4 linked regions of the Saccharomyces cerevisiae S288C genome follow. Changing the gene in region 1 together with any one later gene gives a genetic interaction. Each region holds a gene or a part of one and is shown in the gene's direction. Other genes may lie near its edges.

Evidence for each region.
Region 2: mutations in SRT1 (region 1) and OXP1 together harm fitness more than expected from each alone (negative genetic interaction), as found in Saccharomyces cerevisiae (one large-scale study listed by BioGRID).
Region 3: mutations in SRT1 (region 1) and PUN1 together harm fitness more than expected from each alone (negative genetic interaction), as found in Saccharomyces cerevisiae (one large-scale study listed by BioGRID).
Region 4: mutations in SRT1 (region 1) and YIL163C together harm fitness more than expected from each alone (negative genetic interaction), as found in Saccharomyces cerevisiae (one large-scale study listed by BioGRID).

Annotation. Positions count from the first base shown.
Region 1 is NC_001145.3:467,047-471,678, reverse strand, and holds SRT1 (ditrans,polycis-polyprenyl diphosphate synthase), read left to right. Parts: upstream 1-2,202; coding exon 2,203-3,234; downstream 3,235-4,632. Other genes in the region: LAF1 (Laf1p), read left to right, coding at 1-1,831; MYND-type zinc finger protein MUB1, read right to left, coding at 3,517-4,632. UniProt on the Saccharomyces cerevisiae protein: With NUS1, forms the dehydrodolichyl diphosphate synthase (DDS) complex, an essential component of the dolichol monophosphate (Dol-P) biosynthetic machinery.
Region 2 is NC_001143.9:25,778-33,291, reverse strand, and holds OXP1 (5-oxoprolinase), read left to right. Parts: upstream 1-2,604; coding exon 2,605-6,465; downstream 6,466-7,514. Other genes in the region: DOA1 (Doa1p), read left to right, coding at 1-1,332; YRA2 (Yra2p), read left to right, coding at 1,599-2,210; URA1 (dihydroorotate dehydrogenase), read right to left, coding at 7,133-7,514. UniProt on the Saccharomyces cerevisiae protein: Catalyzes the cleavage of 5-oxo-L-proline to form L-glutamate coupled to the hydrolysis of ATP to ADP and inorganic phosphate.
Region 3 is NC_001144.5:951,531-955,855, reverse strand, and holds PUN1 (Pun1p), read left to right. Parts: upstream 1-1,711; coding exon 1,712-2,503; downstream 2,504-4,325. Other genes in the region: ESCRT-II subunit protein VPS36, read right to left, coding at 1-846; YLR415C (uncharacterized protein), read left to right, coding at 1,259-1,597; INA1 (Ina1p), read right to left, coding at 2,673-4,325. UniProt on the Saccharomyces cerevisiae protein: Contributes to the wild-type cellular response to nitrogen stress through signaling pathways that regulate the expression of genes involved in amino acid biosynthesis. Required for wild-type filamentous growth, cell growth, and cell-cell adhesion.
Region 4 is NC_001141.2:35,943-40,022, reverse strand, and holds YIL163C (uncharacterized protein), read left to right. Parts: upstream 1-2,770; coding exon 2,771-3,124; downstream 3,125-4,080. Other genes in the region: SMU2 (Smu2p), read right to left, coding at 1-590; beta-fructofuranosidase SUC2, read right to left, coding at 1,040-2,638.

The DNA of each region.
Region 1 (4,632 bases):
GTCGATGCGGATCAAACAGCAGGTCAGTTCATTGAACAATCCAAAAGAAAAACAATTTTTGGATTCTGCTACAGAGAAATACGAAGAGAAGGAAAAATTATTGAATTTGTATGCGCCTGTCTTTCACCCAACGCCTTTGCGACTGTATAAAGAACACGTGCAAGATGTTCTGGATATAAATTGGTCTAAAAATAATTTTATTTTGTCAGCATCGATGGATAAGACAGTAAAACTATGGCATCCCGATAGGAAAAATTCACTTAAGACATTCATACATCCTGATTTTGTCACTTGTGTGGAATTTCACCCCACCGACGATAGATTTTTCATTAGCGGCTGTCTGGATCACAAATGCAGGTTATGGTCTATACTGGATGATGAAGTTAGCTTTGAGTACGATTGTCAAGACTTAATAACATCTGTTACATTATCCCCTGAGGAGGGAAAATACACTATAATAGGAACATTTAATGGATACGTTCATATTCTGATGACCAGAGGTCTCACTCCAGTTTCTTCATTTCACGTAGCTGATAGACAAACACAAGAACAAAACGCTCACGTCATGGTCACGGAAACTGACTCAAAAATTCGTCATGGTCCACGTGTGACGGGTTTGCAAGCTTTTAGATCTCAACTGGACAATTCTTTCCGCTTAGTAGTTACATCGAATGATTCGAGGATAAGAATTTTTGACTTAGAACAGAGGAAGCTTCTAGAGGTATTGAAAGGCTTCCATAGCGGATCTTCCCAACACAAGGCACAATTGTCCATCTGGCATGGTCAGCCAATCGTTGTAAATAGTAGTGATGACCATTGGGTTTACGGCTGGAGGTTAAAGTCTTCGGATAGAGAGAATGATCAAGACGAACCTAAAAGGAAACCAAAGGGATTGGCTCGGTCCGGAAGTTTGAGAAGCATATTTAGTAAATCAATGAGTAGGTCTTCCAGCCAGAATAACGAAGAAAAACCACATCATCATTTAAAACTTACTAACTTACTTCCCTTGCCTCATCATAGCAACGATCATTATATCAAAAATACGGATTACATTTCTTTTCATGCACACAATGCCCCTGTTACTTGTGTTAGCATTGCACCGCCAGAAACTTCGAAAACATTATCTTTGTCTAACGATGTTATCTGCGAGCTATCTCTAGAGTTTTTTCAGACATCCGATAGTTTCGATGTTTTGAGTCGGAGTAACGACGATGGCATAATGTCAGATGTAGAGTCGTCTTTGGGCTACAATTCTAAACCAGGCTCAATTTCTAATGCTTCCGCCACCAGTGCTATCCCAGATGTCGTTGACGCAATTGGAACGATATTGATCAGTACTGATAACGTAGGGACTATTCGTGTGTTTAGAGCAGATATGCCCTCTGTTATAAGAAAGCGCGTGTTACTCAAACTAGAAGAATACAATAGAGAGGTTCGGAGAAGGTTTAACAGTTCTGATTCTTTGCATTCTTTGAGTCGAAGCTTCAACTCGAGAGCGAAATCAAACTTGGCTGGCCAACCGGCAGCGGCGTATACTAATACTGGAAAAGGCTATGCAACGGGACGTGGATACTCTAATATATGTCCCAAAAGCAGTACATCACTAAAAACACTCGGCAGTAATGCACAGCCAAGAACACCAAGGGAAAGCATGTCATCTATTTTCTCCAATGCACATGGGCCTACCACTCCAACGAGCGCAATGAATTTACCTATCCGTTGCAATGTTTGTAACGGTTCAAGGTTTGAGGCTTTTTCTGGTGCTAATGACCAACAAGATAGAAACTATTATTGCGTAGACTGCGGTACAGTAGTTAATAACTTCCGCTAACGCTGATGGAGTATTTTTTTTCCGTGGATGATACCTTTAAATGCATATTAATCTTCGTACATAAAGTAAAGAAACACGATACACTTAAATAAATTTTAATCTAATAATTAATGAACGCTAACAATGAGCCTATCATTTGTTGCCGATATACTATAACGTATCTCTTCGAAAGAACAAAACGGAGTGAGTGCCTGTTAAGGGTAACTACTCCAAACTGAGTGGACCTCGGCGGCTAAAGCTATACTTTTTCTGTTATTTAAGGGACCTAAAAATACACACAGAGTAGATTAAGATTTGGTGCACTTTTCTCAATTTATCAACTTATAAAGAACAGGCTGCCTTTCAAACATAGGACGTTTCTGTTGACCATAATGAAAATGCCCAGTATTATTCAGATTCAGTTTGTAGCCCTAAAAAGGCTTTTGGTAGAAACCAAAGAACAGATGTGCTTCGCAGTGAAAAGTATATTTCAGAGAGTATTTGCGTGGGTTATGTCATTAAGCTTGTTTTCATGGTTTTATGTAAATCTTCAGAATATTTTGATAAAAGCATTAAGGGTAGGGCCAGTGCCTGAACATGTCTCCTTTATCATGGATGGTAACCGGAGATATGCCAAGTCAAGAAGGCTACCAGTAAAAAAAGGCCATGAAGCTGGTGGGTTAACGTTACTAACACTACTGTATATCTGCAAAAGATTGGGTGTAAAATGTGTTTCCGCCTATGCATTTTCTATTGAAAATTTTAATAGACCAAAAGAAGAAGTAGATACGCTAATGAATTTGTTTACGGTAAAGCTTGATGAATTCGCAAAAAGAGCCAAGGACTATAAGGATCCCTTATACGGATCTAAAATAAGAATAGTAGGTGATCAATCTTTACTATCTCCAGAAATGAGAAAAAAAATTAAAAAAGTGGAAGAAATCACACAGGATGGAGACGATTTCACTTTATTTATATGTTTTCCTTACACTTCAAGAAATGATATGTTACATACTATTCGTGATTCAGTTGAAGACCATTTGGAAAATAAATCACCAAGGATTAATATAAGAAAATTTACTAATAAAATGTACATGGGTTTCCATTCCAATAAATGTGAATTATTAATCAGAACAAGTGGGCATAGGAGGCTCTCAGACTATATGCTATGGCAAGTACATGAAAATGCCACCATTGAATTTAGTGATACGTTGTGGCCAAATTTTAGCTTCTTTGCTATGTACCTGATGATTCTCAAATGGTCCTTCTTTTCCACCATTCAAAAATATAATGAGAAGAATCACTCATTGTTTGAAAAAATACATGAAAGCGTTCCTTCAATATTTAAAAAAAAGAAAACAGCTATGTCTTTGTACAACTTTCCAAACCCCCCCATTTCAGTTTCGGTTACAGGAGATGAATAAGTAAAAGTGCAAAACTAGAAAGCCCAAGAGAGGGCAAAGAACATTCTGAAAACTCCCTGATTCTTCCATACCTATTACCATATTACATCATTTTTAATTAGTAGTCTTTTAATTATCTATTATATCCGGTATATAAAATATCCTTGCGCCAAGTGTATAGCTAATAAAATGTAAAAAAAAAAAAAATTAGGAACAAAAAATAAAAAAAGCGAAAACAAAAAACTCCGTTAATGAATATTTCATGATCTTGTTAAACCTAGGTCATCGAAATCCCCTTGTACTTTACTCAGGTATGCTATTTTCATCCCTATTGCTTATTTCATCAGGTACGGTGGTGGATATATTAGGAGTGAACGTACTGGTAGAATTCGAAACATCAGCTGCTGTAGTAGCGGTGGCATTTAAAGAACTAGGCTCATTTGGGGTATTGACACCTGTGGTAGTATTCGTGGATCTCATATGACTTGATCCAACTTCGTGACACCAATACCTATGATATCCCCATGCTTTTAATTGACACTTTCGTGAGCAATATTTCGTTCTTTTGCATCGACGACATTTTGCAAATTGTCTTGGAAAATCTTCCCATTTTCCGCACGAAAAATTGGCACACTGACGCACACCTAAGATCTCATTTTTTCGACATGAATTTCTCATGATGACAGAACTCCAATATATAACATCATGTGTATTTTCTGCGCTCACTGTATATTTTTCGACTAAGGGGAAGATGTTTACAACATTTGTTAGTACCTTGTTTTTGTAAACAATATTTGTTAATTCCTTTTTCATTTTATCGTAGCTCCAGCGCCTTTCAAAGTTATCAGATATTTTCTTCCTTAAATTAATTCTTTCCTTGTCTTTGCCATAGGCATTGTCGTCGCTAGGTTTCGGTACACGGTAGCGCTCAAACAAATTAAGAACGGGACAGTGGTTATTACATATTTCATTTTGTTCTTCTTGTTGACATCTGTTTGAGAGTTCTTCTAATTCTTTGAAAAATGGATCCATTTTGCTAGTATCTAGTGCCTTAACTTTGGAATTGTTTTCAGGATTTTTCGATAAATAAGGATATAATGAAGACAATTTTACAGTTACGTCTCTTTCTTGTTCTTCTAAGTCATTCTCTTCTGAGATTCTCTGTTTAATTTTGTAAGCCATACTTCTGAACGATAGGGATTCAACCAGCTCAACATTTTGAAGGGTTGATTTCATATATGTATACTTCGAAACAAAAGCTAATAACTGAAGCGACCATATAACGTCGTCTTGTTTGGGGACAATTCTTCCGAGAAAAAATTCACGTGGAGTGGAAATTGTAGGTCTATTAATGTCTGGTTGCGAAAAGAAATTCTTATGTGCATCAAAATTTTCACTTTCTACTTCACTATCAATATC
Region 2 (7,514 bases), on another chromosome or scaffold:
GGTGATATTATTGTGGGAAGTAGTGATAATCTTGTGAGAATATTTTCGCAAGAGAAGTCAAGATGGGCTTCCGAGGATGAAATAAATGAACTATCTACGCAAGTGGAAAAATCCACTATAAGTTCCAAGACAATAGAATTTGATGAGTCTAAACTATCACCTTATGAAATTTTACAATCGCCGGGGCGCAAAGAGGGTCAAATTGTGGTAGTCAAATCACCTCAAGGTACTATAGAAGCTCATCAATTTTCAAATTCTTCATGGAAAAAGGTTGGTGATGTTGTCGGTGCAGGTGCTACTGGAAACGACAAAAAAATAGAATTCGAGGGTAAAACGTATGACTACGTATTTGATGTGGATATTGAAGATGGAAAACCTCCCTTGAAATTGCCGATTAATGTCAGCGACAACCCATATACAGCAGCCGACAATTTTTTGGCTCGTTATGAACTGCCAATGAGTTATAGGGATCAAGTAGTACAGTTCATACTGAAGAACACTAATGGCATATCGCTAGACCAGCCCAACGATAATGCATCATCTTCTGCAGTATCACCTTCAAAAACGAGCGTAATGAAGGTTCTTCCTGTCAAGCAGTATCTTATCATGGAAAATTATAACCCAGATACTATTTTCAATGGAATAGTAAAAATAAATTCAAATGAGAAGACCTTTGATGATGAAATTCTGGCGCAAATTGGTGGCGCACTACATGACATAGATGAAAGCTGGGAGTTGCTACTTTCATTTGCTAACACTATAAGATCTAACTGGGAAATTAAGACTCCTGCATACGACATAGTACGATTGATTGTAAAAAAATTACCTTATTCTTCAGATATAAAAGATTACATCGAAGAAGGCTTGGGCAATAAGAATATCACTCTAACCATGTTAACTGTGCGTATTTTGGTAAATTGCTTCAATAATGAAAACTGGGGTGTGAAATTACTGGAATCAAATCAAGTTTATAAATCAATTTTTGAGACTATAGATACTGAATTTTCTCAGGCATCTGCTAAACAGTCACAGAATTTGGCTATTGCAGTTTCCACACTAATTTTCAACTATTCAGCTCTCGTCACGAAAGGGAACTCTGATTTAGAACTTTTGCCTATCGTAGCTGACGCCATCAACACCAAGTATGGGCCATTGGAAGAGTATCAAGAATGCGAAGAAGCCGCATATAGGCTAACCGTAGCTTACGGAAATTTGGCTACTGTTGAACCTACATTAAGACAATTTGCCAACTCCGTAACTTGGCTTGCAAACATCAAAAGGAGCTATGGGAACGTGCCAAGGTTTAAGGATATTTTCGACGATCTCTCCTAATACTTTTACAGCAATCATATAAAACACATAATGTCTAGATAGCAAATAATCTTTAAAATTCTTTCTGCCCTATTGAAAATTATGACAAACTATCACGGTCATTTTCTGTCTAACTCGGCAAGAAATTATCATCGTGAAATGAAAAAGGTTACATACAATAAGGTTATTTTGAGTACAGACTGATAAATAGATGGAAAAGACTAAAAAACTGAAACGATAAGCGTCTAGTACCTTTTCCATTAGACGATTCAATACTGCATTTTGCAATGGACAAAGCATTTGACGAAATTATTGGAAATAGTCACACAGACAGCTCATCTAATCATAAGGTAACGAGATACCGCAGAAGGGATTTAAGAAATGAATTAGGACCTAGACTGGGATTTGCGCCTTCGGATGCTGCATCAAGGTCGAAAGATCGCCTTTATAGAGAGAGGGAAGAGCCTCCTTTGCCTAAGAGAATTAGAATATCCAAAATCCCACTAGACGTTTCTGACTACACCCTCGATGATATGATTAAAGAGTTTGGCTCGCCAATATTTTCGAAAATTTTTGACAATAAAGAGGATCGTACATGTATTTACGAATTTGAAGACCCAGAAGTTTTGGAAAAGATTGTCGAGCGTTATAATGGACATGAGTTACATAATGCAAAAATTGAAGTGGAGATTTACCAACCACAGAGAAAGCATTCTAGAATGAATGCCCACAACCGTCGCAAACAGACGGCTCAAGAACACGGAAGAGGCAGGCCAGGGAGCCATTATCGCCAAAAGCCTAACAGAGTCTCCAAAAAGAACAAGGGCCGTGAGAAGAATAACACTCCTACTTCTGTCGAAGCTCTTGACGCTGAATTAGATGCTTACATGAAAGGTTAAGCAATTGTGTATCTACTTATAATTTCTTTATAGTCTTTTCAATGTTTTTTTACTCCATCAGTCTACAGATATGAAACCTCAGTACTACTTTTTACCTAAATAATTAATTTTTATTTCTAGAGGGTAGCAATGATAAACACTTTACCAATCTCTGGAATTAAGAACAAGCGTACTCCGCTCTATTCAGTATTATTTGCATGAATACTTCAACAATTGTTTTGTTTGCCTCAGGTGCTTTTCCGATTGAGCACGATCGCCATAACATTACCACTGAAAAGAAAGATAAGATCAAATGTTACGTGGTGTTGAAGAAAGAATGCCAAAAACTAAGAACTGAACTTAAACAGTAATAATTTTGAGCATTGAAAACCTAAATATAACTTCTTGGTATACAATGCAGAAAGGAAACATAAGAATTGCCATCGATAAGGGTGGAACTTTCACTGATTGTGTGGGGAATATTGGTACAGGTAAACAAGAACATGATACTGTCATCAAGCTCTTGTCGGTGGATCCCAAAAACTATCCAGATGCTCCCCTTGAAGGCATAAGACGTCTCTTGGAGGTGCTTGAACACAAGACAATTCCTCGCGGTATTCCTCTAGACATCTCTAATGTGAGAAGTTTAAGAATGGGGACAACCCTAGCTACAAACTGCGCTCTAGAAAGAAATGGTGAACGTTGTGCCTTCATTACTACGAAAGGCTTTAAGGATTCATTGCTGATTGGAGACCAAACCAGGCCAGATATCTTCAACTTAAATATAAAAAAGGTAGTGCCATTATATGACACTGTAGTTGAAATAGATGAGAGAGTTACTTTAGAAGATTTCTCGGAAGACCCTTATTTTACCAAATCGTCTCCTAATGAACAAGAAGGTATCCTGGAAGGTAATAGTGGCGAAATGGTAAGGGTCATAAAGAAGCCAGATGAATCAAGCGTAAGATCTATTCTGAAAGTGCTTTATGCTAGCGGAATCAAGTCTATTGCGATAGCATTTTTACACTCATACACTTTTCCAGACCATGAGCGAATTGTTGGTAATATTGCCAGGGAGATTGGGTTTTCTCATGTTTCATTATCATCTGAAGTCTCTCCAATGATAAAATTTTTACCGAGGGCTCACAGTTCTGTCGCAGATGCCTACCTTACTCCGGTAATTAAAAAGTACTTGAATAGCATTTCTGCAGGTTTGAGCCACGCAGAAGATACCCACATTCAATTCATGCAGTCTGATGGTGGTTTAGTGGATGGGGGAAAATTTTCCGGTTTGAAATCTATTTTATCTGGTCCTGCAGGTGGCGTAATAGGTTATTCTAGTACATGCTATGATAAAAATAATAACATACCCTTAATAGGCTTTGACATGGGAGGAACATCTACTGATGTCAGTAGGTACGGCGATGGGAGGTTAGAACATGTTTTTGAAACTGTTACCGCAGGGATCATCATACAATCTCCTCAACTTGACATCCATACTGTTGCTGCTGGAGGAAGTTCTATTTTGTCATGGAAAAACGGGTTATTCAGAGTAGGCCCTGATTCAGCAGCTGCTGATCCAGGCCCTGCAGCCTACAGAAAGGGCGGGCCTTTGACCATTACAGACGCCAACCTCTTTTTAGGACGTTTGGTTCCTGAGTTCTTCCCCAAAATTTTTGGGCCCAATGAGGATGAATCACTTGACTTAGAAACCACTACTTTGAAATTCAGAGAATTAACAGATGTCATCAATAAGGATCTGAATTCAAATCTAACCATGGAAGAGGTTGCCTATGGATTTATCAAAGTAGCTAACGAATGCATGGCAAGACCTGTGAGGGCCATTACAGAAGCAAAAGGACATGTAGTATCTCAGCATCGGTTAGTTTCCTTTGGCGGGGCTGGCGGGCAACACGCCATAGCGGTTGCAGATTCATTGGGCATTGACACTGTTTTAATTCATAGATATTCTTCTATCTTGTCCGCTTATGGCATTTTCTTAGCAGATGTTATTGAAGAAAACCAAGAGCCTTGCTCTTTTATCTTGGGTGAGCCAGAGACCATCTTGAAAGTGAAAAAAAGATTCTTAGAACTTTCTAAAAATTCAATCAAAAACCTTTTATCTCAGTCGTTTTCTCGGGAGGACATAGTCTTGGAAAGATATTTAAATCTCAGATATGAAGGTACTGAAACCAGTTTGATGATATTACAAAAATATGATGACCAATGGAATTTTAGGGAATGGTTCTCTGAAGCTCATAAAAAAGAGTTCGGATTCTCATTCGATGACAAACGAATTATAATTGATGATATAAGGATAAGAGCAATTGGGAAATCAGGCGTTAGAAAAGAAAAAACGGTTGATGAGCAATTGATTGAAATTTCCCATTTCAAGAAAGCCGACGTGTCAAAGGATGCTAGTTTTACCCAGAAAGCATATTTTGACAACAAATGGGTCGACACTGCGGTCTTCAAAATTGATGATCTTCCTGCCGGAACAATTATCGAGGGCCCAGCCATATTGGCTGACGGTACCCAAACAAATATTATTTTACCAAACAGCCAAGCAACAATTTTAAACTCTCATATATTTATCAAGATCAACCAAAAGGCTGCGAAGACATTATCTAAAAGCGGATATGAACTTGATATAGATCCAATCTTATTGTCTATTTTCAGTCATAGGTTTATGGATATCGCCCTCCAGATGGGTACTCAATTGAGGAAAACTTCTGTTTCAACTAACGTCAAAGAGAGATTAGATTTTTCATGTGCACTATTCGACTCTAAAGGAAACTTAGTCGCTAACGCTCCTCATGTACCTGTTCACTTAGGATCAATGTCAACCTGCATATCAGCACAGGCGAAGTTATGGGAAGGCAAATTAAAGCCTGGTGATGTTTTAATCACAAACCATCCGGATATTGGTGGTACTCATTTACCAGACATAACAGTAATAACTCCTTCTTTCTCTTCAACTGGCGAATTGATATTTTATGTGGCTTCAAGAGCCCATCATGCAGATATTGGAGGTATTCTACCCGGTTCAGTGCCTCCAAATTCCAAAGAATTGTACGAAGAAGGAACCGCAATTTATTCCGAATTGGTTGTCAAAGAGGGAATTTTCCAGGAAGAATTAATTTACAAGCTTTTCGTAGAAGATCCAGGCAAATACCCAGGCTGCTCAGGTTCAAGAAGATTTAGTGATAACATAAGCGATTTAAAAGCGCAAGTCGCAGCTAACACAAAAGGGATACAGTTAATTGGGTCATTAACTAAGGAATATGATCTGGCTACAATATTGAAATACATGGCTGCAATTCAGACAAATGCATCTGAATCCATAAAAAAAATGCTTGCAAAAATGGTTGAACATTTTGGCACAACGAAGTTTTCTGGCGAAGATCGCTTAGATGATGGAAGCTTAATTAAACTACAAGTTATCATAAGACCTGAAAAAGAGGAGTATATTTTTAATTTCGATGGCACTTCTCCCCAAGTTTATGGTAATTTAAATGCACCAGAGGCTATTACTAATTCTGCGATTCTTTATTGTCTACGGTGTCTAGTAGGCGAAGATATTCCTTTAAATCAAGGTTGTTTAAAACCCTTAACAATAAAAATTCCTGCTGGTTCCCTCTTGAGCCCCCGATCCGGTGCTGCTGTTGTCGGAGGCAATGTATTAACTTCCCAAAGAGTGACAGATGTAATCTTAAAAACATTTAACGTCATGGCAGATTCTCAAGGTGACTGTAACAACTTTACATTTGGAACTGGAGGAAATTCTGGTAACAAAACCGATAAGCAGATCAAAGGCTTTGGATATTATGAAACCATATGTGGCGGCTCGGGGGCTGGTGCAGATTCATGGAGAGGAAGTGGTTGGAATGGCTCAGACGCTGTACACACGAATATGACCAATACAAGAATGACAGATACTGAGGTATTTGAAAGGAGATACCCCGTTCTGTTGAAAGAGTTCTCGATCAGAAGAGGTTCAGGAGGCAAAGGTAAATATACTGGCGGAAATGGCGTAGTAAGGGATGTTCAATTTCGGAAGGCTGTAACAGCATCTATATTATCAGAACGTCGTGTCATTGGCCCTCATGGTATAAAGGGAGGACAAGACGGTAGTAGAGGTGAGAATTTATGGGTAAGACATAGCACAGGCGCATTAATCAATGTCGGCGGTAAAAATACGATTTACGCTCAACCCGGTGATCGATTCATCATTAAAACCCCTGGTGGTGGGGGATTTGGACAATACAAGGATTAAAGCATTTCTTTTTGGTTCTTAGTCAATATCGAATTACACGGAACCATTGGTATACCGTGGATGCGCCAGCCACAAATTGACTTTTACAGAAAGTACAGTTTAATTATATAAGAACAGGCACTTAACAATGTTTCGGAACTCTGTAGATAAAACCAAATTACTCTTTCGAAAAGGCTACATTCTACATCAAAATCACCTGTGCAATATATATATATATATATATATATATATATATGCACATATTCGTTAATTTCTTCACTTTTTTCCCCAAATATTAAACAGATGGCTTCATTTCTTCAACATTATTTTCTGGTTCCTATGCCATTTTTAGCCTACTAATAATTATCGTTGAAAAATGTTTCTTGAATAAGTCTTAATGTAAGGATATATCATATGTTGAGATATAAAAATTTAAGTATAAATGAATCAAGACAATAATTTACATTGATTAAGTTATTTCAAAGTATAAGTATTTAGTATCATCATCTATTAAAGCACATTGAACCCTAATGTATGATGCCAATTGCGAATGCACTCACCGAAAAATTAAGGAATTAGCATTTACCAACTATCCTTGATTTATGCAATTTCAAAATAATAAAATATTCATACGAATCTTAACACTCTTCCATAACTTGTCCCATCATAGTTCTTCAAATTCCGATAATTAAATGCTGTTCAACTTCCCACGGAACTGATCTATGGATGTATAACCCTTAGCTTCCATTATGTCTTTTAATTCTTTTTCGATACGTTCAAAAATCTTGACGCCCTCTTTTTGTAATTCTGTACCAATCTGTAGCATAGAGGCACCACATAGAAGATGTTCAAATGCATCCTTACCGGACTTAATTCCACCTGTACCGATAACTTTGATTTCAGGTCTCAAACGAGTGTAAAATGCACGAACATTGGCGAGCGCGGTTGGCTTAACATATTCACCTCCAATACCCCCGAAACCATTCTTTGGCTTCACTACTACACTCTCCTTCTCCACATCAATGAAAAGACCATTTCCTATACTATTGATAGAGTTGACATAAGCTAAT
Region 3 (4,325 bases), on another chromosome or scaffold:
TTCAGTGAGTATATTCTCCAAAGCCCTCTCTGTAGCTTGTGAAAACAATACGCCATCAGATTTGCGGAAACTCAATTGCACGAATTCTGTCGATGATCCTGTCGAGGACGAGGACGATAATGCCGAGTGCGAGCTCTTGTTTCTAGCCAGTGAATTTTTTTCTAGCTCAATATGGACCCTAGAATCATGAAAGTTTAGCCTGTTCAGCTTTGATCGTACTTTGGATGCATTAGGCAATCTGTGGCCGCAAATCTCGCAATTTCCTATTTGAGGATGATTAGCAAAAGTACAGGCGGGGCAAATGTTCTCAGAGTTCACTCCGAACTGATTCTGTGGGTTGGCGTTCGGGTCGATTGCATTAGAACAATTTATAGACGACTTGGTGAGCTCATAGTCCGCTGGCACACCGCAATTGATACAAATGGGTGTAGGTAGAGTGTCTTTAGTGAATTCCCCCTGCGTTTCGTTCGAAACCATACAGATGGGGCAGACCCACGTCGAAACAACGTCGGCACTTGCTGTTTCCGCACTTTTACCAAGTTCATCCTTACTGGAGGGGTCCTTGAAAAACAGGATCAGACGAGGTGATCTGGTCAAGAAGCCAGATGAATAGTTTACATACGCTAGATCGTCCAATTCCAACCCAAGCGAGTTCTGAGTGGGCTTTGCATCGTCGATGTAGATAATTCTTTGTGACGTTAAAAAGATTCTGCCCCTCTGTCGCTGTAGAATCTTAGATTTGCCATGGTAAAGACCTACGGACTGATCGATAAAGATATCTTTTTCACCTTCTCGAAGAAGAGGTTGGCCCGATGACGTAGTTTCCACATAATGCCAGTACTCCATCTTTTGAAAAAAAAAGAATGACTTTCAAAACACACTTCCTGATTCCTAGCCGAGGTCCCCTATTCTATCTTGGATGACCTTTTCTCTGCTTTTTTGTTTTTCAGTCTCCATCTTTTCCAGATGAAACATGTGAAACCCTTTTTCCTCTTCGTTGATCCTAAAAAAAGCGCGTCTGGAAAACAAGGCGAAGCTTCCTCACATGGAAAAGGCTTCTTAATATGTCGCTACGCCTCATTCCCATTGCATACAGAAAGCAAAGTAGTGCGTTTTGCGAACGTCACAGATCAAAAGTTTGGCCATGCATTGTCATTCTTTTTTTCTTACATACACTGCACCAGACATGTCGGTTCCGCCCCGCTAACGGTTAGTCAGCCACACATTGACGTACACTGTGAACAGCCTATTTCTTTCCATGTATCTCAGTGCCCAGCTTATGAGAACTGTCACAGCCTCCCACTTGACCCTCAGAGCCCTCTCCACTCCCCCCCTCTTTCAACATCGCCAGATAGCCGCCGTTGAATGGTGCGGGACAACCCGGCCTGGCCTGGCCAGGCAAAAAAGGACGCAGCACGCCTCGAGCGTTATTTCCAAATCGGGCGTACTATCAGCCAAGCCCAGCTCGGTATTTTTAGCGCTTCTCGCAGGAAAATTGGCTGAGAAGTATATATACGCGAGAATGTTGCTCTTCCATGTCTCAGTAGTCAATGAGTGTCCAGTGGTGTTTCATTCTGGACCAGTTGTTTGGAAGTAGAACTAAAAGAAACTAGATCAAGATCATACAACGCTGCGCAGTAGTGAAACTTGATTAAAGCAATAGAGAACTATTAAGAAAAAAACAAACACATCATCGAAGGACGCTATAAGCATGAGGAATTTTTTCACGTTATTTTTTGCAGCTATATTTTCGCTAGGAGCACTTATATTAGCCATTGTTGCATGCGCAGGATCAACGAAAAATTACAGTCCCATAAATAAAATTTACTGTGCAGAATTGGATCTGTCGCAGATGAAGGTATCGACGGTGCTCCCTTCTTTGAGTTCTGCTACGCTATCTTCGTTGGGCCTGCCCTCATATATAAATATAGGGCTTTGGTCGTACTGTACAGTGGACTCCTCGCATAACATCCAATCATGTTCTTCGCCTCACGGTATCCAGAATTTTAACCTATCGTCATTAGTGTATGACAATATCAACAACAATGAGGCTCTGGAGCTTATGGATTCCGTGGCCAGTGTTGTTTTGCCCGAAAAACTAAAAAGTAAAATGACATACTACAACAATTTGGTCAAGTGTATGTTCATTACCATTCTTATTGGTATTGTCTTGACCTTTGTGAATCTAGTGTTCAACGTATTGCGCTGGATCATCCACATAAGGCCGCTAACGTGGTTTGGTGCCTTTTTTTCATTTTTCGCCTTTGCCGCCCTATTAGTCAGTATAGGTTCGTGTTTGGGCACTTACTCATACATCAAATACATCCTAAAGCATAACTATAGTGATTACGGTATTTCAATGAGCATTGGTAGGAACTACCAGGGTTTGATGTGGGGGGCTGTCGTTGGAGCATTACTGAATTTCATTCTATGGTGTAGCGTGAGATCGAGGCCCACCGTCATCTATGCGAACGCTCCAATTGAGGAAAAACCATTGATTTGAATTTGAAAAAGGCAAGGTTATTAATTAATTTTTGTGTTCCGTTTCATATTAAATATGATTAAAATATATTGTCTATATACAATTCAGAAAATTATAATGAAGAAAATTAAAAGGATGGAGAATTGAAAAAATTTACGGGGTGATGTTGCATGATCTTCTTTTTATTATTTTACCTTGCAAAGTTTTTTTCAGCATCAATGGGGCTTTCGTGTTCTTCAATGATTCTTGAGGTAGTAGAGTCACTTTCTTGAACAGCTTTCTCAGCTTCCACGATGGCAGCTCCCTTTCTGCTGCTCCACCAGCAGTATGCAATGCAGAGAAATACAAGGACGGCAAATACAAATCCAGACCACATTAGGCCATAAAATGGAGAAGAGCCAGAAATAATGACATCGTAATTGTCCTTCTTGGAGCCGGATTTCATCATATTAAGGATGACGCTAAAGATTGTGCTTCCCAACCCGCTGAAAATACATATCCAACAGGAAATAAAGCCCAATGCCAACCATAATTTTTGACTCACCACGGAACGTCTACTTAGTAGCAACAAGAATACCATTAAGAAGAAGGATGTGATTATGCACATTAAGTTCATAGCTAAAGCTGCTTTCACTGCTGGGACATACATGTGTTGTCTGTCTTGTAATTCACCATCTAAATGCAAATCGTCCTTACCGATGTTCAGGGCATCCATATAAGGTTTAAAGTCCGAGCCTTCAATGTTGTTGTAAACAATCGACCGGAAATCCATGTTTTGAACAGCGTGTGACTTGCTACACGAGTACATTGTTCTGTTTAAGTGAGCACGACACATTGTGAAAATGGACAAACGGTATATGACAGGGATGTGTAGATATTCAAGGATAGAAGGAGTCATTTCCTTGAGTTGTTCTGGTGTGATAGTTGTCATGTTTACAGCAGAGTTTAAAATTTTCAACATGGGCATAAATGTAGCGGCATTAGTTTCTGCCCATTTGGTGATATTAACCAGAGAAGAGAAACTTGACACGGGGTCGCTTGACGCAGCTAATAGGCTGAACAAGTATGGAACGTACTTAAGTAATACGGTGTTATTGGCCAATTGGGATTCCAAAGTAGGGATTATGGAAACAACTGTGGATGCGTTAGCACTTGCAGAAAGGATTTCATCAAGTGCCACCAATTGGTTAGTAGAGGAAGCGGCTTCTTTAGAGAGGGCCAAACTTTCGACAGATGTTAGCAGCTCTGTTTGGTTTGTAGTGTAATTCAACAAGTCAGTCAAAGCACCCATGGCAGCTTTAGCGGAAGATGATTGGGTAATGTTTTCGGCAATCATAGTGCTCAATACGGATAATGTTACATTTTGAGATGTAGTTTCATCAAACAGAGTAACAACAGCTTGGACAGCTGGTTTTAAACTCGAAGGAACGAGGGAGCCTAATTGCATAATAGTTTCAGTAGCATTGCCACCTTCCGCAAGACTGGTTTTTAGACTAGAAAACAATGAGGAGACCGTTGAAGTTGGAATGGTAGAGTTCATTATGGTTTCTAACGCATCGCATGTGGCAGTAATGTTCTTGGAACTTGCGAATAACTCGAATACAGGCGACAATTTTGTCTTTTCTTCTGTGGTCATATTATTTAAAGTGATCAAAGACTCAGTAGTGCCTATAGGATTGGTCGAATCCACTAATAGGGTTAGAACAGTATTTTCTAAGGAAGCCGAAGTAGAAGAAGTGTTGGTTGACATAGATGACATCAATGTGCTAAACCCATCCAAGAGTTCGGTTGTGTTTTTAGAGGTAGTCAATAACTCATCAAGAGCGGAGAAGGTCGTGGTAGT
Region 4 (4,080 bases), on another chromosome or scaffold:
TTAACCAATTGACGGGCTTTCCAGTTGAAATTCGCTATCACGGTGTCCATGTAAGAGGAAACTTCTTCATTACTTTTCATCGTTAGTTTTATTGGGGCCTTTGGATAATCCAAAGGTATGTTGAATAAAATTTTCAAAGAAATCTTACCGGAGTCTGTCATGGGGGAGATTCGATAGCCATATGAGGTAACGTGCTTACCCTTTTTAAACAGTTTAAAATCGGATAAGGTGTGAATGCATTGTTCGATTTCTTCTTGCCTTTTTGCGATTTGTTTTCGCTCTTCTACATTAATTTCCTTTGAGTAGTGTAGGGTATTCTTTTTATTAGCTCCATTATTGTTTTTCCGCCTTCTGTTTTTCGCTTGAGATTTCTCGACTCTCACTTCTTCCCCTCCAGTCACAGGTTTAGGTTCATTTTGTTCCTTTGTCTCTGTCTTCTTATTTCTGTTTCGATTTTTATTCCGCTTTTTATTTCCATTTTTAGCTTTATTTGTGCTCTCCTCATTCCCGATTGGAGTTCCTTCGTTTCCCAAACCAGAAGCTTTTCCCTGAGATTTTTTAGCTCCTGTTACAGATAGCTTGGTATCCATTTCCCTCACTACTTCTTTTTGAGAACACTTTTACGTAGAAGACAACGCTTTTTTTTTTTACAATATGGTATACTTCTACTTAATGCTTTTAAATTTTCACATAACTAATACTTTACCCGGTTTCATTGTGTCAGTAACAAAACAGATAAAGGCAAAAAGGTCCATCCTAGTAGTGTAAGGCAACTACATTACGATTGTGGGTTTATTACGTGAAAAAATGATGTCTATTGCAAAGTAGTAAAAATTTTTAAGAGAATTATACTTATATAAAGTACATAAAGAACAAATTCCAGGTAACTGGGGTCGGGAGAAAATAAAAATAAAAATACATTTTCAATGGTTTGGAGGTATTCTTTGAAATCATAAAGTTTTACATTCGTCACTCGTTAGCTAAAGCCCTTTAGAATGGCTTTTGAAAAAAATAAAAAAGACAATAAGTTTTATAACCTCTATTTTACTTCCCTTACTTGGAACTTGTCAATGTAGAACAAATTATCGACACCAGTGGTCATGTTCACAGATCCTAGAGCGTTACCGGTGGTCATGAAGTAGGTATTTGTAGAAACCACATCTCCATCGTTGAAGTACAATTCCAAGATGTTTTGATCCAGTAGGCCGTACACTTTATAGTAACTTAGGTCGTTCTCAGACTTGAATGGTTGGTTGTTGACAGACATTCTGTTTGTGAAATATGGGTTCTCCTTGACAAACTTGACCTTAGAGTTACCACGGTCCAAAAAGAAGGAAGAAGCACTGACTTCAAAACCCATTCTCAAATATTCTTCAGGATCTTCTAAACCCTTGAACCAAAGTGATAAGTCGGCAAAGACGGATTTGGATATGGTTTGTGTGGTGTTAACAGCGTAAACCAACTCAAACTCTAGGGTACCAGTCGAGTTGCTCAAATCGACATTGTAAGAATTGGCCTTAGTTAGAGTTGTGTTAGTAGCAAAACGAGACCAGGGACCAGCATTACTAATGTTCAATATTGGTTCGGCTTTCAAATTGATCAATTCAGTCTCTGGATTAGCTTGATATTCAGTGTTCAAAGAAAACTTGCGGACCAAAGACATGGATGATCTCCATGGGTTAGTTGGGACAAAGGCACTGTACTCCCAGTTTGAAGCCCAGGCAATACCTAATGCTGAACCGTAGGTTGGGTCAGTGTTGAAGAAAGTTTGCAAGGCATAGTAGTCCTTACCAAAATCTACCACTCTAGATTGATTGTCAAACGCTTCAAAATGAGTACCATTGAAGGATCCAACAAAATATTGGTTGAAGGAACCGCCAGCAGGTGCACCTGGGTTGATAGAAATAAACATGACCCAATAAGATTTGGAAGGATCTTGCTCAGTTGGGACTTCAATCAAACCTGGACATTCGTATTGGTAGCCTAAGAAACCTTCATTGGCAAATGCAGATTCTAGCTTCCAGGACTTCAAGTCATCAGAGGAGTAAATTTCAATTTTGTAGTCTTGTGATTTGGCAGCCGTCATAATCCATTTTTGAGAAGGTTCATACCAGAACACCTTTGGATCTCTGAATTGAGTGGAGTTGGCAGCTAAAACAGGGTTCTTTTGGTATTCAGTAAAAGTGTAACCACCATCAAGAGAATAGCTAATGTATTGCTCTTCACTTTCAGGAGTGTTATAAGTCCAAATCGCAACGCATCTTTGTCTTGGATCAATAGTATCATTGAAAAACCCACTCGTGTTGTTGTAATCAACCACCATGGAGCCAGAGAAAGCACCTGAATCGTTACGCTTGGGAGCGATAGCAATGGGTTGATCTTCCCAATTAGTCAAATCATCGGAAGTAGCATGGCCCCAAAACAATGGCGTACCCCATACGGTGTCATTTGGGTTGTATTGAAAGTACAGATGCCATTTGGCATCTTTTTCATCGTACCACAACCCATTTGGGTCATTCATCCAGCCCTTGTTGGGTGTGAAGTGGACCAAAGGTCTATCGCTAGTTTCGTTTGTCATTGATGCAGATATTTTGGCTGCAAAACCAGCCAAAAGGAAAAGGAAAGCTTGCAAAAGCATCATATACGTTAGTGAAAAGAAAAGCTTTTTGTTTTGCTTGTTTCTCTGAGAGAAAAAAAAAAGTAAGATATATGGTAAAAAAAAAGCACAAGAACAAGAGAATGTTTTGAAGAATAATACATATCTATTTATATGTTTCTTTTCAGGAGGAAGGATTATAGGATCGAAATCCAAAAAAAAAAAGTCGTCAAATCTTTCTTCCAAATGGTTTACTATAGAGCCCTTAGGCAACATTTTTGTCAAACAAAGTCGTTTAAGCATTCCTCGAAAAGAAACGTCTCTATGATGGTAATAGGCAAACATCGGGCGTACCTTAAAAGTCTTAGACATCACATAAAGGGATTTATAATCACATTCCTCGTCAGTTTTTCCAGAAACCTCCATGGAAAAACCCTGGACGTGGGGTCGATTAACGCTACGCGTATTTCTTCGCCCCCGGATAATTTCCTAAACTGGGTTTTTTCTTTTTATTCCTGTTCAGAGTAATAAAAATGCGGGGAATAATGGAAGCCCTCATAATGGATCGAGTTCAACAAAGGCACGCCTTTGGTAGAAGAATACTGTGGGCCTTTCTAACGTAGCATACCGACTGGTAATTTGCTCACAAACTATTCTAAATGACGTACTTTTTTGAGCTTTGCTGGGGGAGCGAGAACTACGCTAGGACAACAACTCCCATACGGTAAATGTCTTAGTATGTCGTGCTTGTACAAACGAAACATGATAAAATGGATACCTTCGACAGCTCACCGTGCCCCTGTCCTTTGTTCATTGGGAAACCTCCTGCCGTAATTCTACATACTATACTCGATACCCGAGATTGTGACGTGTGGATGCTAAGCCCCTATAACCTCAAACTTTTTAGCTTGGAAAGGCACTTAACTCAATTATAGGTTGTTGCGAATTCTGAATTTTTACAGCTACTTCTGTAGGGAATTCAGACCTCCGTACGGTATCTCCCTGTTTACTACAGGGGAAAACTTAGTTTTTTTTTTACTATAGTATATGCAAGGCCCTGAAGCTCCATGATATTTCGTAGATTATTCGGCTTCCTATTCAAGGCAATGTCTAGCCGTTTAATGTGCGACGGCATTAGCAAAGCTTCTTCAGTTAATAACTTTTCTACGTTCTTTAGCGCATTAATAGACTGATCGTCTATTACCATCGTGGAAATGAGGTATAGCACCTAAGAATACAGCGAAGGAGGTCTAACTGCTTCCCAGAAGTCACAGGAAAATAAACTTTTTTTTTTTATTTTCCGCTTTTTTCATAAACTTCTTTCACACTTTCCGCTTTTCCATACTTGGTAAATGCACATAATGCTATTGTAATATACAACCATGATTTCACTTCCCCTGGCGCAACAGTATGTTGTTAGCTATGATACAAAAATTTTTTAAGGCCATTTGAAAGCATCAATTTCTCAGAACACACTTCATCTA